Linked DNA regions of Macaca fascicularis. The protein of the gene in region 1 interacts with the protein of each later gene in a biochemical or structural test. Links are inferred from orthologs where the notes say so. Each region holds a gene or a part of one and is shown on either strand. Other genes may lie near its edges.

What was found.
Region 2: of the proteins of KAT2B (region 1) and H1-1, one has a biochemical effect on the other in vitro, tested with the Homo sapiens proteins (2 studies listed by BioGRID). The link is inferred for Macaca fascicularis from reciprocal best matches to the Homo sapiens genes KAT2B and H1-1.
Region 3: the proteins of KAT2B (region 1) and CTBP1 form a complex in vitro, tested with the Homo sapiens proteins (2 studies listed by BioGRID, with this or other methods). The link is inferred for Macaca fascicularis from reciprocal best matches to the Homo sapiens genes KAT2B and CTBP1.

The regions. Positions count from the first base shown.
Region 1 is NC_088376.1:28,300,865-28,305,743, reverse strand, and holds part of KAT2B (histone acetyltransferase KAT2B), read left to right. Parts: intron 1-1,451; coding exon 1,452-1,660; intron 1,661-2,666; coding exon 2,667-2,793; intron 2,794-4,879. UniProt on the Homo sapiens protein: Functions as a histone acetyltransferase (HAT) to promote transcriptional activation. Has significant histone acetyltransferase activity with core histones (H3 and H4), and also with nucleosome core particles.
Region 2 is NC_088378.1:146,911,646-146,915,357, forward strand, and holds H1-1 (histone H1.1), read left to right. Parts: upstream 1-1,793; 5' UTR 1,794-1,851; coding exon 1,852-2,499; 3' UTR 2,500-2,500; downstream 2,501-3,712. UniProt on the Homo sapiens protein: Histone H1 protein binds to linker DNA between nucleosomes forming the macromolecular structure known as the chromatin fiber. Histones H1 are necessary for the condensation of nucleosome chains into higher-order structured fibers.
Region 3 is NC_088379.1:1,342,632-1,347,996, forward strand, and holds the start of CTBP1 (C-terminal-binding protein 1), read right to left. Parts: upstream 3,513-5,365; 5' UTR 3,338-3,512; coding exon 3,298-3,337; intron 3,113-3,297; exon of another isoform or gene 1,978-3,112; intron 1-1,977. UniProt on the Homo sapiens protein: Corepressor targeting diverse transcription regulators such as GLIS2 or BCL6. Has dehydrogenase activity. Involved in controlling the equilibrium between tubular and stacked structures in the Golgi complex.

The DNA of each region.
Region 1 (4,879 bases):
TTTTTTTAGGGATTTAGTAACATTGCAGATTAGCTTAGTTTTTTTCAGCTCTAAAATGGGAATTTGTACTAGTCTATTGCATTGCTACAAAGAAATACCTGAGACTTGGTAATTTATTTTTTTTGAAAAGAGCTTTAATTGGCTCACAGTTCTGCAGATTGTACAAGAATGGCATCAGCATCTGCATAGCTTCTGGTGAGGCCTCAGGGAACTTCTACTCATGGTGCAGGGTGAAGTGGGAGCAGGCACATCACATGGTGAGAAAGGGAATGAGAGAGTGAGGAGGAGGAGCCAGACCCCTTTAGACTACCAAATCTCCTGTGAACTAACTGAGCAATAACTCATTCATCAACAAGGGGATTGTGCTAGGCCATTCATGAGGGATCTGCCGTGATGATCCAACACTTCCCACTAGGCCCCACCTCCAGCATTGGAGATTGCATTTCAGCATGAATTTGGAGGGGGCACACATTCAAACTACATCAGGATGAATCACGTGTTTCAAAATATTTTTGATATATTAATATTTAGTAGTATACTGGAGCTGGCTTGTACTGGAATGCAAAGAAAATTGTTAAATTTTTAGGAATTTTGTGAGCTGGTTGTTCCATATGTTGGTAGCTTGAAATTGACCACCATGGCACCTGGTACCTGGATAGCCAGTTCTGGACTAATGAGATGAAGTGTCACCATTTAGGGCCTTCCTTACCTGAAGAGCTGTTTGTGGAGTATTTGCTTGCAAACCACTGGGCAGATTAAATAAGATAGGGAGCATAAGTGCTGGCACGTGGTTGTGCTTCCAGCTATGGTTGAGTGTAAGTCAACAGATATTCTCTGGAAAAAACCCTGTTCTTTAAAAAGAGGTGTTAAAAGTATATTCATGAGTGCTACTATTGGGCCTGTAATGAGAATTTGAATCTGTCATCTCAAGGGTCCTTAAAGCTCAGCTGGAGAGGATTCCTTTAAGCCAGAGGTTGGCGAACAATAACCCACAGGCCACATTTTGTCTGCTTACTGTATTTTTAAACAAAGTTTTATTGGAACAGTACTGCACCCATTCTTTAACATATTGTCTGTGGATGCTTTTGCATTACAGCAGAAGAAGGAGTAGTTGTGACAAAGACCTTATGGCTCACAATGTCTAAAATATTTTCTATCTGGCCCTTCACAGAAAATTTTGCTGGCCCCTAATCTACACTGAATATCATCCGTGTACACATACAATACTCCAATTTCTCAAAATGCTTTACCTGCCTTTTCTGTCTTGTCTTCATAACTTGTATGTGTATGTGTCTCTGTGTGTATGTGTGCACACATGTGTGAATTTAGGACTCTGAAAATCCACAAATGTGTATCTTCTTAGAACAAAAATGAGAAGCTTGGATGTGTCCCATCCCCACTGTCTTGAGAGAATAGCTCTGTGTAATTTTTTCCTGTCTCTTGCATCTCAGACCAATTTTCTGTCGGCACACTCGGCTAGGGATGAGGCGGCAAGGTTGGAAGAGCGCAGGGGTGTAATTGAATTTCACGTCGTTGGCAATTCCCTCAACCAGAAACCAAACAAGAAGATCCTCATGTGGCTGGTTGGCCTACAGAACGTTTTCTCCCACCAGCTGCCCCGAATGCCAAAAGAGTACATCACACGGCTCGTCTTTGACCCGTAAGTGGTACTTTCTGTTCCTTCTTCCTTATTTCCTTTTTAAATGAAAGAGGAACTACTTAGATAGTGAAAGTCAGCCATAGTCATCCACCGAATACCACTGCTCCTGTCTTGCTGTGGATACAGAGCTACACCAAGCTAATTTTCATGTCTGAAAGTGCTAAGATTAATTTTAAACAATATACAAATTTTCTTGTTAATGATAATGAAACTTTGTATTTTACATCGCTGTTGACTATCCTGTGCTTCATTCTTTATAGCAGTGAGAGAATGTAACACTAAGATGTTCTACTTTTTTCGTAGTCAAAATATTGGTTTTGGTATCTTAACTAGGTGCCCAGGTCTGTGGGCAATTATTGGGATATAAGATGGGTTAACTTTGAAAATCCATTGCTTTAAAAAACAAAACAAAACAAAAAAAACCCCCACAAAACCCCAAAGAACTAAACTTCCCTAATTGAATTTATTTTAACATATATAGCCCAGTAGCCTCTGGGGACTGTGATCCATGCCTGTGACAATTCAGAGTGATGCTTTAGACAGAGGGAAGGATTCCATAATGCAAAGTTTCACAAATTGTATATGTAGATTTTAAATTCTTTTTCATAATGTTTCTGTAATATTTTGGAGTAAGACTTAACTCTTCAGAGACACATATCATGTTTGTCCATGACTTCCTGCTCTCCCCTGACCCCTCCTTGGCACTGGGTGTGCCAGTTCCAGAGCACCTCCGCACATACACTGTTCTCTATTTTAAACCTCAGGCACTTCTTAGGTGACTGGTACTTTGTTCTGATGGGAGTGCTGATGACGTCTTATGCAGTCAAGCTTGCTCTAAAAAGTTCAGATAAAAGGGTAGTCTAGTGAGATAGGGGTTACATGAAGGAAGTTTCTATAGAAACTTAGGACATGTCCCTCTTTCTTAGTTGGTTAATAAGGAACACCCCAAAAAGTATATTTGTATAACTAGGGTAGGTAAAACTTTGACATAATCTTATTCTTTCAGGAAACACAAAACCCTTGCTTTAATTAAAGATGGCCGTGTTATTGGTGGTATCTGTTTCCGTATGTTCCCATCTCAAGGATTCACAGAGATTGTCTTCTGTGCTGTAACCTCCAACGAGCAAGTCAAGGTAAGGGTAACCCAAGGTCTTAGAAGAAAAGCAGAATGTGGAGCTTCTCACTAAGGCCTGCAGAGCTTGGGAAGATCTCTCTGTGCCATGTCCAGAGGAGGTTCAAAGTGGAGTTAAGGACTTTCTGGGAATAGTCCTCTCACTCCAACGGTCCCCAACCGTTTTGGCACCAGGGACTGGTATCATGGAAGACAATTTTTCCACGGGCCAGACTGGGGGTATGGTTTTGGGATGAAACTGTTCCATCTCAGATCATCAGGCATTAGTTAGATTCTCATAAGGAGCATGCAACCTAGATCCCTTGCATGCACAGTTCACAATAGGATTTGCACTCCTGTCAGAGTCTGGTGCCACCACTGATCTGACAGGAGGCAGAGCTCAGGCGGTAATGCTCACTTCCCTGCCGTTCACCTCCTGCCCCTATGTACAGGCCACGGACTGGTAATGGTCTAGGGGTTGGGGACCTCTATCTCACTGTGAGTGTATGTGTATGTGTGTGAGAAGAGTAAATGGTTTCACCTACCAACAAATAGGGTTGTACCAAGGCTTTATTGGACTTTGGGGCAAGGTAGCAGGATACTCTGCAAGTTCCATGTGTCACTCAACTATCTATAGCAAATGAAGGGATATTTGAAAATAAATCTCAGTGTTCATTGTTAATTTCCACACCCACACACACACAAACACGTAATCACAATTAGTGACACTGCACTACTGGAAAGGATATGGTTAATGTGGATTAGAAAGATGATTCAGGCAGCTTACACTTCAGAAAGATTTCTTGTGACCTTGTCCCTAAGGGAAGACAAGGACTAAAGAAATTCTTTAAGGGAAGTCATGAAATTCTATAAGGGAAGTCATGTAAATTTATGAATAAATTTCAGAAGTTATTCTGTAGGGTTTGGCGTGTGTTGGAGTGTCTTTTTGTTTTGGTTTGTTTTGTTTTTTATGTTGCTAATTTACCTTCCCAGTTGTCTTTGGCCTGGGTCCCTTCCTTTCCGGGAATTGTGTCCATGTTTTATTGGTATTGCAGTTGGTGCCGCAATCTGGCAAGAATAAACTAGACTCTGAATTGACAGAAAGAGCTCTCATCTAGACCTTGTCCTGTTCTACTTTCTTGCTTTTAAGAAAAGGGAACCAGAAAACGTGTCCTTAGAACGTTATTCACTTAGGGCTGGGCGCAGTGGCTCACACCTGTAATCCCAGCACTTTGGGAGGCTGAGGTAGGTGGATCTCCTGAGATCAGGAGTTTGAGACCAGCCTGACCAATGTGGTAAAACCCCATCTCCACTAAAAACACAAAATTAACTGGGCGTGGTGGCACATGCCTGTAATCCTAGCTGCTTGGGAGGCTGAGACAGGAAGATCGCTTGAACCCGGGAGGCAGAGGTTGCAGTGAACTGAGATCACACCACTGCACTCCAGCCTGGGCAGCGGAGAGTGAAACTCCATCTCAAAAAAAAAAAAAAAAAAAAAAAAACTTTGTTATTCATTTAGGATTTTCATGGGCAGACTAAAGATTAGCAGCTCAGGATTAAGATGGCTGCTGAGAAGAATTATTGGAAGGTCTAAAGCAATGTGTCCAATAGAAATATAAAGCAACCTGCAAATATGAGGTTATAAAAGCACACATATATGTGCTTTTAAATTTTCTAGTAGTTGTATTTTTTTTTAAGAAAAGCAAGTGGAATCCAGTGAGATTAATTTTGGAAATATATTTTATTTTACCCATATATCCAAAGTGTTATAATAACTGCAACAGGCATTCAGCATCACGAAGAGTTATGGAGACCTTTTACATTACATTCTTTGTTCTGTATTGTCTTTTTTTTTTTTTTTTTTTGAGGAGTCTCACTCTGTCGCCCAGGCAGGAGTGTAGTGGCTCCATCTCGGCTCACTGCAAGCTCCGCCTCCCAGGTTCACACCATTCTCCTGCCTCAGTCTCTTGAGTAGCTGGGACTACAGGCGCCTGCCACCATGCCCGGCTGATTTTTTTTGTTTTTAGTGGAGACGGGGTTTCACCGTGTTGGCCAGGATGCTCTCGATCTCCTGACCTCATGATCCACCCGCCTCGGCCTCCCAAAGT
Region 2 (3,712 bases), on another chromosome or scaffold:
TTTAGCACTGCCAAGCGCTAATGCAATCATTTTAAAAGTCTCAAAACACTAAAAAGTGGATTGTGACCTTTTTAAATTCACAGGAGACAGGCCACTTTCTATCTTTTGATTGGTTTAGGCTATTTTCTTGAACAGCCATTTAGAAAGCAGATCTATCATCCTTTATTTGCATGGAGCGTTCCCATTTTATTTGAAGCCAGTTTAACCCAATGGAAACAAGGGAGGCAGAACCCATTATTTAAAGTGGAAGCTCCTGAATCAGATAATTCGGAGTATTTCCTTTTTAAAAGTTGCGTTTTTTTCAGATACCTCGCTTATTACATTAAGAAAGGTTTATATCTTTCATAAAGGGTTTACTTACAAAAACCTTCCAATTTTATATACCTGTGTTTCATAACTGACTAGCCGTCAAACCAAGATGTATAGTTTCCAAATGTTATTTTCCAAATTTTAAGAAATTACGTGAAATATTTGAATGCGTGGCTTCTCAATAAAATAGACGTAGGAAACACTGGTAAAGAAGATGGGTACAATAGTTATCTGGGACTACTACAATTATTTGGTTGACACGTTGTTTGAAGAAAAAGGGAAAAAGCTCAGGTTACTTAGCACAGTTCGGACTTATTTAAAAACTACAACAGCACGAACGGAAATAGACCGCATTCCCTCACTCTCCGCTGTGTTAAGGGGTTATCCAGAATAGGATTGTAGAAGTGGATGTCGATTTAATAGTTTTTTTGTTCTCCCGTTAGCTGAGTCTCTGATTGGCAATGTGAGATCGTTTTAGCTTATTGATAATTTGAAATGCTCTTAACAGCCACAAACAAGCTAAAGAGAGGTTACCATAAAATCTTATCCCCAGGGTGTGCTTACACTTACCGTTTGTTTTCACACTAAGGAGACTTAACTCCCCAGCAGAATGCCTGTCGGGGAACCAGTTTCTTGGACCCAGCATTTAACGCCTTTCGCAGGTTTGTGAGGCCCATAAATCTTTGTTGAATAAAACAATGAGTTCACCATGTCATGGTGCGCTCATTGCATGTGCTGACATGGAACACAGGTTGTAAACCTTAACACCCATTTGGGGCATGTTGTATGGATGAAAAGGGCATTGGAAATTCCTGAAGTGCATCCCACATTGGACTGTGGAAGTAAGTTGCAAGTGCAGAAACGTTTCCACACTTGCAGTTTGAGTATTAATTGCAGCGTTAGTGAATTCTGGTGTTGTCTACGATTCATTCTTCTTTGACGTGAAAGGTATTCGCGAGACACATCGCTCTAAAACATTGCCAGAAAATGTAATCGAGTTGATGACTACTAGCCCTAACACGGCCTAAAACCCGCACTTTCCTCTTCCTCCCCAACTATTCAAACACTGTATTTTACATTTCTTGCAAATTAAAAACTAACATATCTGGCAACGGACCTCTAAAACTTTCTAATAAAACTCCCTGGATGCTTGTGGGGCTGCATTTGCAAACCGCTCCCCATCAACCTACTCCCTAAAACAGAGCTGCTTTTTGAGAGACAAGCGGCACCCTCTGATGTTACTAGGTGGCAGTCGGCCTACAATTTCCTTCACAATGAGGCAATCGGAGCGGCTTTTTCGGTGTGTTTGCTTGCGTTGAGGGGAGCGGGACCATAGGCCCTAGAGGCCCCCAGGTGCTCTCTGAGACTGGGGGAAACCCTCTGCAGAGCGCAGGGGGCGCTAGGGTGCGAGGGGCGGGCACTGACGGGCACCAATCACTGCGCAGTCCCACCCTATAAATAGGCTGAGTCGGGGCCTTTTTTTTCTCGCATCCTGCTTGGTCAGGTTTATACCAGTTTACTTGGTGTGCTGTATTAGTCACCATGTCCGAAACGGCGCCTCCCGCTCCCGCCGCTTCTGCTGCTCCTGAGAAACCTTCAGCTAGCAGGAAGGCAAAGAAACCTGCTAAGGTTGCGGTGGCCACTAAGAAAAAGCCTGCTGGCCCTTCCGTGTCAGAGCTGATCGTGCAGGCTGCTTCCTCCTCTAAGGAGCGTGGTGGTGTGTCATTGGCTGCTCTTAAAAAGGCGCTGGCGGCCGCAGGCTACGATGTGGAGAAGAACAACAGCCGCATTAAGCTGGGTATTAAGAGCCTGGTAAGCAAGGGAACGTTGGTGCAGACGAAGGGCACCGGCGCCTCGGGTTCCTTCAAACTCAACAAGAAGGCATCCTCCGTGGAAACCAAGCCCGGCGCTTCAAGGGTGGCTGCAAAAACCAAGGCAACGGGTGCGTCTAAAAAGCCCAAAAAGGCCACGGGGGTTAGCAAAAAGAACGTCAAGACTCCAAAAAATGCTAAAAAGTCTGCGGCAACAAGGAAATCCTCTAAGAGTCCCAAAAAACCCAAAGCTGTAAAACCCAAGAAAGTAGCTAAAAGCCCTGCTAAAACTAAGGCTATAAAACCCAAGGCGGCCAAGGCTAAGGTGACGAAGCCAAAGACTGCCAAACCCAAGAAAGCGGCACCCAAGAAAAAGTAAATTCGGTTGGAAACTTCTACTAACCCAACGGCTCTTTTAAGAGCCACCTACACACTTCGGGAAAAGAGCTGTAGTACACAGATGAAATTCCCCCAAGCAAATGCAATACGCCCTCATTTATATTAGAATCACTTGGAGAGTCAATAGGAACTTTAACATAGGTTGAGTAGTAAATTCTTGCCAGATGAGGCTATCAAAGATAGCAAGGTGAATTCAAATGCACCGAGTTAAAGTCGAATTTTAGATCACCTGTTTTGCTTTTTTTTTTTTTTTTAAGTAGCCCGAAGTCCCGCATCTCACGACCCCAAGCTAATTAGTCATAACTGTAACGAACCAAGGTTGAAGCCTAGTCCCAGGCTTGAGGCTTTTTTATTATACAAGGTTAAAGTGCGGACATTGCGTTCTTGGGTCAATATTGCTAAAGTAGCCTTTTCCGAAATTGGGTGGTCCTAAGAAATGCTTCTGGGATAGTAAGCAAAATTCATGGCTTAATCACGCCCTCTCGGCAGCAGTGGCTAGAGAGGTGTCTGTCCTTGGGAATGACGGTGACCCTTCTGGCGTGACTGGCGCCCACGTTGGCGTCCTCTGAAAGCCCCACCAGGTAGGCCTAGCTCGCTCGCTTTCTGCAGCGCCATCATGACAAAGCTTTGAAACGCAAAATGCTCTTGCTTTGCGCAGCGCTTTACCATGGGTGCACTTACAGGCTGTCGACTTGGTTTAGGCCCTCATCAGGACAAAGGAGCTTAGTTGCAATGGAGTTTTAGAGCTGCAACTCTAAAGCCCTTGCTCGGTTTCTCTGTTTTTAGAAACAGTAGCGACCTGATTGGATAATATTTGAAAATTACTATGCTTAACTGGATCGTGTTTCATCAATCGTGCAGGATTTTCAACCCTGGTGGAGCCCACACATTCAATACTGAAGATCCTTTTCTCAGAACTGCCCCTTTAAGCTTTTGCAATTTTAATTCTGGGGTTCAATTTTAATAACTGAACTTTTTTTTACATCTGACAAAAAGAGTATATGATGAGCCAAGTTTACTCAGTGCAGCTCAATTCTAAAAGTTTATTTTTGCGTGTGTGCATATGAGTTAATAATTAGTTGTATTTTTCAAACGGTCGGTCTTTTTTCAATTGTTTTGCTTAGCTCCTTCCATCGTCTAAAGTCAGGGATACAGGCACATCACATCCCTGTTCCCCCTTCCTCAAACTAATA
Region 3 (5,365 bases), on another chromosome or scaffold:
TGACACCACTCGAGAGGCAGCCTCAGACGCCTCTGAGGCTCACGCCAGCCATGCAGACAGGGCAGCCCAGCAGCCCTCACACCACAGATGGGTGGCAGGTCAGGGTGACACGGGTGGGCAGGGTGACACGGGTGGCGGGGCAGGGTGGCATGGGCGGGCAGGGTGGCATGGGTGGGCAGGGTGGCATGGGCCACACTAGGCCTGGGGAGTTGATGGCGGTGCCAGGGGAGGGTGCAGAAGGGGCCTGGTCCCAACACCACCCACACCTCTCTCAGGGCCGTAGCCCCAACTCCTCCCCATCCAAACCAACTGGGCTTCCCTCAGGGCCATCCTCACTCTTCCTTCAACGCACATAAGAACTGGCACCGCCTGGCCACCCAGAGAGACAACTCAAGGTTAATGTTTGGCTTGACAAAAGGCCACCCAAGAGATTTCTGACTTTACAGGAAAAAACTGAACGTTTCCTCGTGGGAGATACCACATGGAGTGTGTGGCTGGACGGGCTTCTGGAAGGGACGGTCAGTGATGCAGGTGGCATCTTGTGGGTTACCCCCACCCAGTGTGGGGGAGAGTAGTGGGCCCTGGCCACTGCAGCCGACAATGGAGGACCTGGGGGGCCAGACACTCCCAGCACAGAGCTCCTACCCACAACTACCAAAATCCAGCGACCACCAGAGGACCCCGGTACTCTGACCAGCGTTCCCTCAGGCGATGCAGTTCAACCACAGAACCCGGAGGACACCACCTGCTGCCTCCACCACCTCCTGGCCACCCCTGGGCCCTGAGCCAGGCCTGCACCGTCAGCACCACCCGTACGGAGCCCTCTCCAGCCCTGAGTGGAGGGGAAAACAAGAAGTCCTTCTGGAAGGAGAGTCACTCGGGTAAACACCTCACAGGGCACACGCCTTTGACTTGGGCACTGCGTGGGGAGCGCCAGGGCACAGCCAGGCACAGAACGCTGCCTGAAGGGTTCTCAGCAACACTAGTGGTACCAGCCGTACGCCTCTTGGCTCAGGGACGCCACCATCAGCTCAGACCAGGTCACACTCTGGGGGCAGTGGCCACAGGAAGTTGAAAGGGCTAGTTACAGTCAGAGGAGAAAAACTGCCAGGCGAGCCAGGTGTGGCTGAACAGCCACCTCTGAGCTCCAAAGGAAGAGACTAGGCCTCTCGAGCCTGGGACCCGTTTCCTGCAGAGCGTGACTACTTCTGTCCAGGGTTCCTCCAGAAAAAACTTATTAACAGAGTGACTGTTAACAGTGGCTGTCTGCTGGATAATGGAACCTTACACTACAAACGTCCAAAGAGTGGGGGGCTCCCAGCCCTTGGAGGAGGCAGACAGGACCAGCCAGCACCTCCAATCTCCCCAGGATGTGGCTGGGGTCGGTTCTGCGCCAAGCCCACAGGACTGGGCCAAGGCCCATCCCACTCAGCAGACGGACAGGACCAGCCCACAGTCCCGTGCACCCGGGGCCAAACCTCCCCTCCCCCACTGCCATGTTCTCAGGTTAATGACAAGTGTGCAAAAGGGAAGATCCTACTCACTGACATTCCCAACCACATGTCCACCTCTCAGAACTAACAGCTGCCCTGGTCAAGGCTGACAGGACGAAGTACATGCTGCGGACATGGCAGACACCTCAAAAACGGCCAGGCAGGTGGACAAGGCACCCCGGGCAGTGAGCAGATGCAGCCCCCACTGCATGTCCCTCCCAGAGTTCTGCAGAGGACGCCAGCATGGAAGCAGGTGCTCAAAGATGGGCGACAGAATCACAGAGGGCAAAACGCGTCTGCAGAGCTGACAGTGCCAACCAGGAGCCAAACCCAGACCCCAGAGGGAGGTGGCCAGGCCTGGGCGGGCAGGGGAGACCTGGTGCTGAGGCCCAGGGCAGAGCCACGCCCTACAAAGTTCCAGGACACAGAACGAGAGACCCCCAAACCGCAGCTGTCATCCTCAGCTGCAACGGCAAATAGTTACCCCACGGTGCTGCCCCAACCCTGCCCCAAGCCGCAGACGGGTACACAGACGCGCACAGGCCATGCGCTAGGAGCTCAGCGAGGACGCCCGCGGCGCGGGCCCAGCCACCAGCGCCGTTTTCTTCCCGACGGACTTGTGCTCCCTGCCGAGCTCCTACAGAAACGGTGGAGAGGACTTGGCTGGGGGTGCTCGGGCTCCACGGAGCACCCTGCGCACCCGCCGCCTCGGCCCTGGCTCCGGGCCCTCTAGCCCCAACTCTCAGGGTTTCACCTCCCCACTCAGGGCACCGGGAAGGGCGCGACCGCCTTCCCTTTTCCCCACTGGAAGGGAATTCTGTCCCGGCAATCGCGGAGACTACAGCAAAAGGGCTCTGGCCCCGGCCGGGCTTCTGGACACCGATGCCCTTGGAGGCCGCCAGAGAACGCTCCAGCTTTGGCCCGGGGATCAAGCGCGCGGGCTCTGCCTTTGCAGCCGTGTCGAGGGAGAGAGAGGCTCCGCGGAGCGGCCCGGGCCGGCCCAGGATGCGGGCGCTGCAAGATGGCGATGGCCGTGCGCCCGGCGTCCGCCCGTGCTCCCTGCTTCCGGGGCCGCAGCCGGCGAGGAAGGCGCCCCGGGACCCGGGCCGGCACAGGCAGAGGCAGGTGGAGGCGCCGGGCCGGGCCGGGCCCTCGCGGAGTTCGCGGGAGCGGAGACCCCCGGGGACCGCCCGCGTCACCGCCGGGGGCTGCGCTTTGGGCCCGGTCTGAGGGCGGCGGCCTCCTCCACGGTCAGACCCGGCGCCCAGGCCCCGTCCCCTTCCCCCACAGCGCGCGGCCGCGGTCGCCGGCAGCCTCAGGGCGGGAGGGGGCGCGCTCCCGCGAGTGGCCCGGGAGCGCGCTCCCCAGGACACCCGTAGCTGCGCACGGCGCAGCTCCCACCCCGGTCCCGCAGGCCCAGCCGCGGGGTCGTGACCGGGGACGGGGTAGCGGCCGGGGATCGGGACTCGGGACTCGGGGTGCCGTCCCGGGTCCCATGGGGCTGGGGTCGGTGGAGCAGCCTGGAGGCCCACGGGCCCCTTTGTGTCACCTGCGCGGGCCGCGGGCGGGGAGTGCACACGGCGGCGCTCGCTCACACGCAGCGGCCCGCGCATGCGCACGACCCTTGCCGCGGTCCCGCCCCCGACCGCGGCCACGCGCGGACGACGGCGCGCACGCGCACTCGCACACAAAGCCGGCGGCCCGCGGGCGCGCGCTCGGCCCGCCCCCGCGCCCCCCGCCCGCGCGGCCCCCGCCCCGCCCCGCCCCCGCCCGCGGCCGGAAACGCGCGCGCGCGCGGCCTTACCGAGCGGCAGGCCCTTGTTGAGCAAGTGCGAGCTGCCCATCGAGAGGCGCGAGCGGCCGCGGGCCCCGACCACTCCGGCGCGCTGCGCCGCCGCGAGTCCGGCGCGTGGGGCGGCCTCGGTGCCGTCCGCTGCTCCGCCCGCTCGCCTGCGCCTGGCCGCCGCCGTGCCGAGCCTCCGCCGCGCCGCTGAGCCGCGCTCCGACGACCGCGCGGGCGGGGACACGGCGGCGCGCGCGGGCGGGGCCTCGCGGTTGGTCTCCTGGTTCCCGGCGCGGGCGGCGCACGGACTCACGCGGGCGGCTCAGGGCCCGCCCGGCCGGGCGCGGCTGCGGGGCGGGGCGGGAGCCTGGCGGGAAGCTCACGGGGCCTGCAGCCCGGCGGAGGCCCGAGGCCCGGTGTTCCGCACGTTCTAAACCGCCTGTCCCGGAGGAAGGCGGGCAGGGTCGGGCCGGGCTCAGCACCGCTGGCAGGAGCGCCGCCCGCCCCGAGGCCCCCTGCGGGACGGCGCCGGGCCCGGAAGCCGAGGCAGGGTCGCCCACGTCAGCGCCCGGAACGGACCCGAACGTAAATGGCGCTCCTCCGCGCAGCGGCCGCCCCGCTCCCTTCCCGCCCCGCCAGCCGCCGCCCTCCCCCGCTCGCTTCTGGCCCCGCGGCCTGGCCCGTGCGCCTCCGAAGACTTGTCCTTGCGGTGCCGCTGTCCCCGGGGCTGGCCAGGGGCACCGAGGCCGCGGGTTCCCCCCATCGCCCCCACCCGAGCCCTGATTTACCGTCCAAGAGCCGGCCGCACATGGGGCCCCGGGAGGAGAAGCGCGCCCGCCCCAGTTCGTCCCCAGCCGGGGGGGACCCCGACTCCGGGAGGGGCCGCGTTCTGCCCGGCCCAGCGCGCTGTTCCCGGCCCGGGAAGTTCAGGGCTGGAGAACCCCCTTCTCGACCCCGTTTCTCCTTTAACAAGAGTAGGGTTTGTAGCCAGCTCTGCTTCTGCCCGCTGCGGGAAACGCCCCGACCCGGGAGGGCCCGAAAGTCCCTTCAGGGAGAGGCCGCACCGGGCCTGCTCACCCAGGGGCTGCCCCTGCAGACTCTCCCGAGGGGCCCAGGGATATTCCTCGCGCCGCGAGTGGACGCTTCCATCCACCCCGTGGGGAGTTGTGGGAAGGGCCTCTGCGCGTGGCTACTCTGAGCACACTGGAATGATCAGATAGTTGCATAATTTGAGAAACCACAGCCTGGAGACGGAATGATGCAGACTCCTATCCGAGAGACACCTGCTCTAGTTTCGCTGTGGTTCGTGAGGACGCGTCCTAGGCTGCCCTGAGAAGCCCATGTCTGCCCTTCCAGGCCTGGGAAGACCTCTGACCCCACTGACAGTGCTGGGCCCTCAGTCGGGCCTGCCATGCGTACCACTTTCTGTTCTAAGACCGGGCTGCCCAGCTGTGGCCTGGAGGAAACCTGGCAGGTATCACCAGAGCTTTGGGGAGGGTGGGGCCCTGTCAGGGAAGCCCAGTGGGAGTCATGAAGGAGGGAACACGTGTGGAGCCCTTGTAGGGGGAGGGGCAGCCCTGCAGAGATCTAAGAAAATTCCAGAAAAATGAGCAGCAACCTCCAAGGCCAGACATCGGTGCAGGGGACAAGGGGTCACAGATGGAGGGGCCTAGGTGAGGCTGCTGGGAAGGGATGATGTGGTTGGTGGAGTGCACAGGCAGGGACCTCACTGGACTTTCCTATCTGCTCTGCATGGACAGGCAGCCCAGAAGGCAGCAGGGACATGCCACTCCCTTTTTCCCCAGGGAAGCTGGGGACAGACGGGTCCCAGGCACTCCATCCTCTGCAGCAAGTCAGGTTGTGATTTACTGGGCATTGGTGAATAAAATGGAGAGGCTTCTGGGGAGAAATTCCTGGCTCCCACGTGGACTGGCAGAGCTCAACAGGCAGCCACGTGGCTGAGTGTCCAGCAAACATCACATAAGGCTTTGGGTCCTGTAGGTGAGGCTGCCCTGAGCAGCAAGCTCAGTCCAGAAGAGCAGTTCCTCTCCAGGATCCATTTCCTGCGCACTTTTATGTCCAGTGTAGC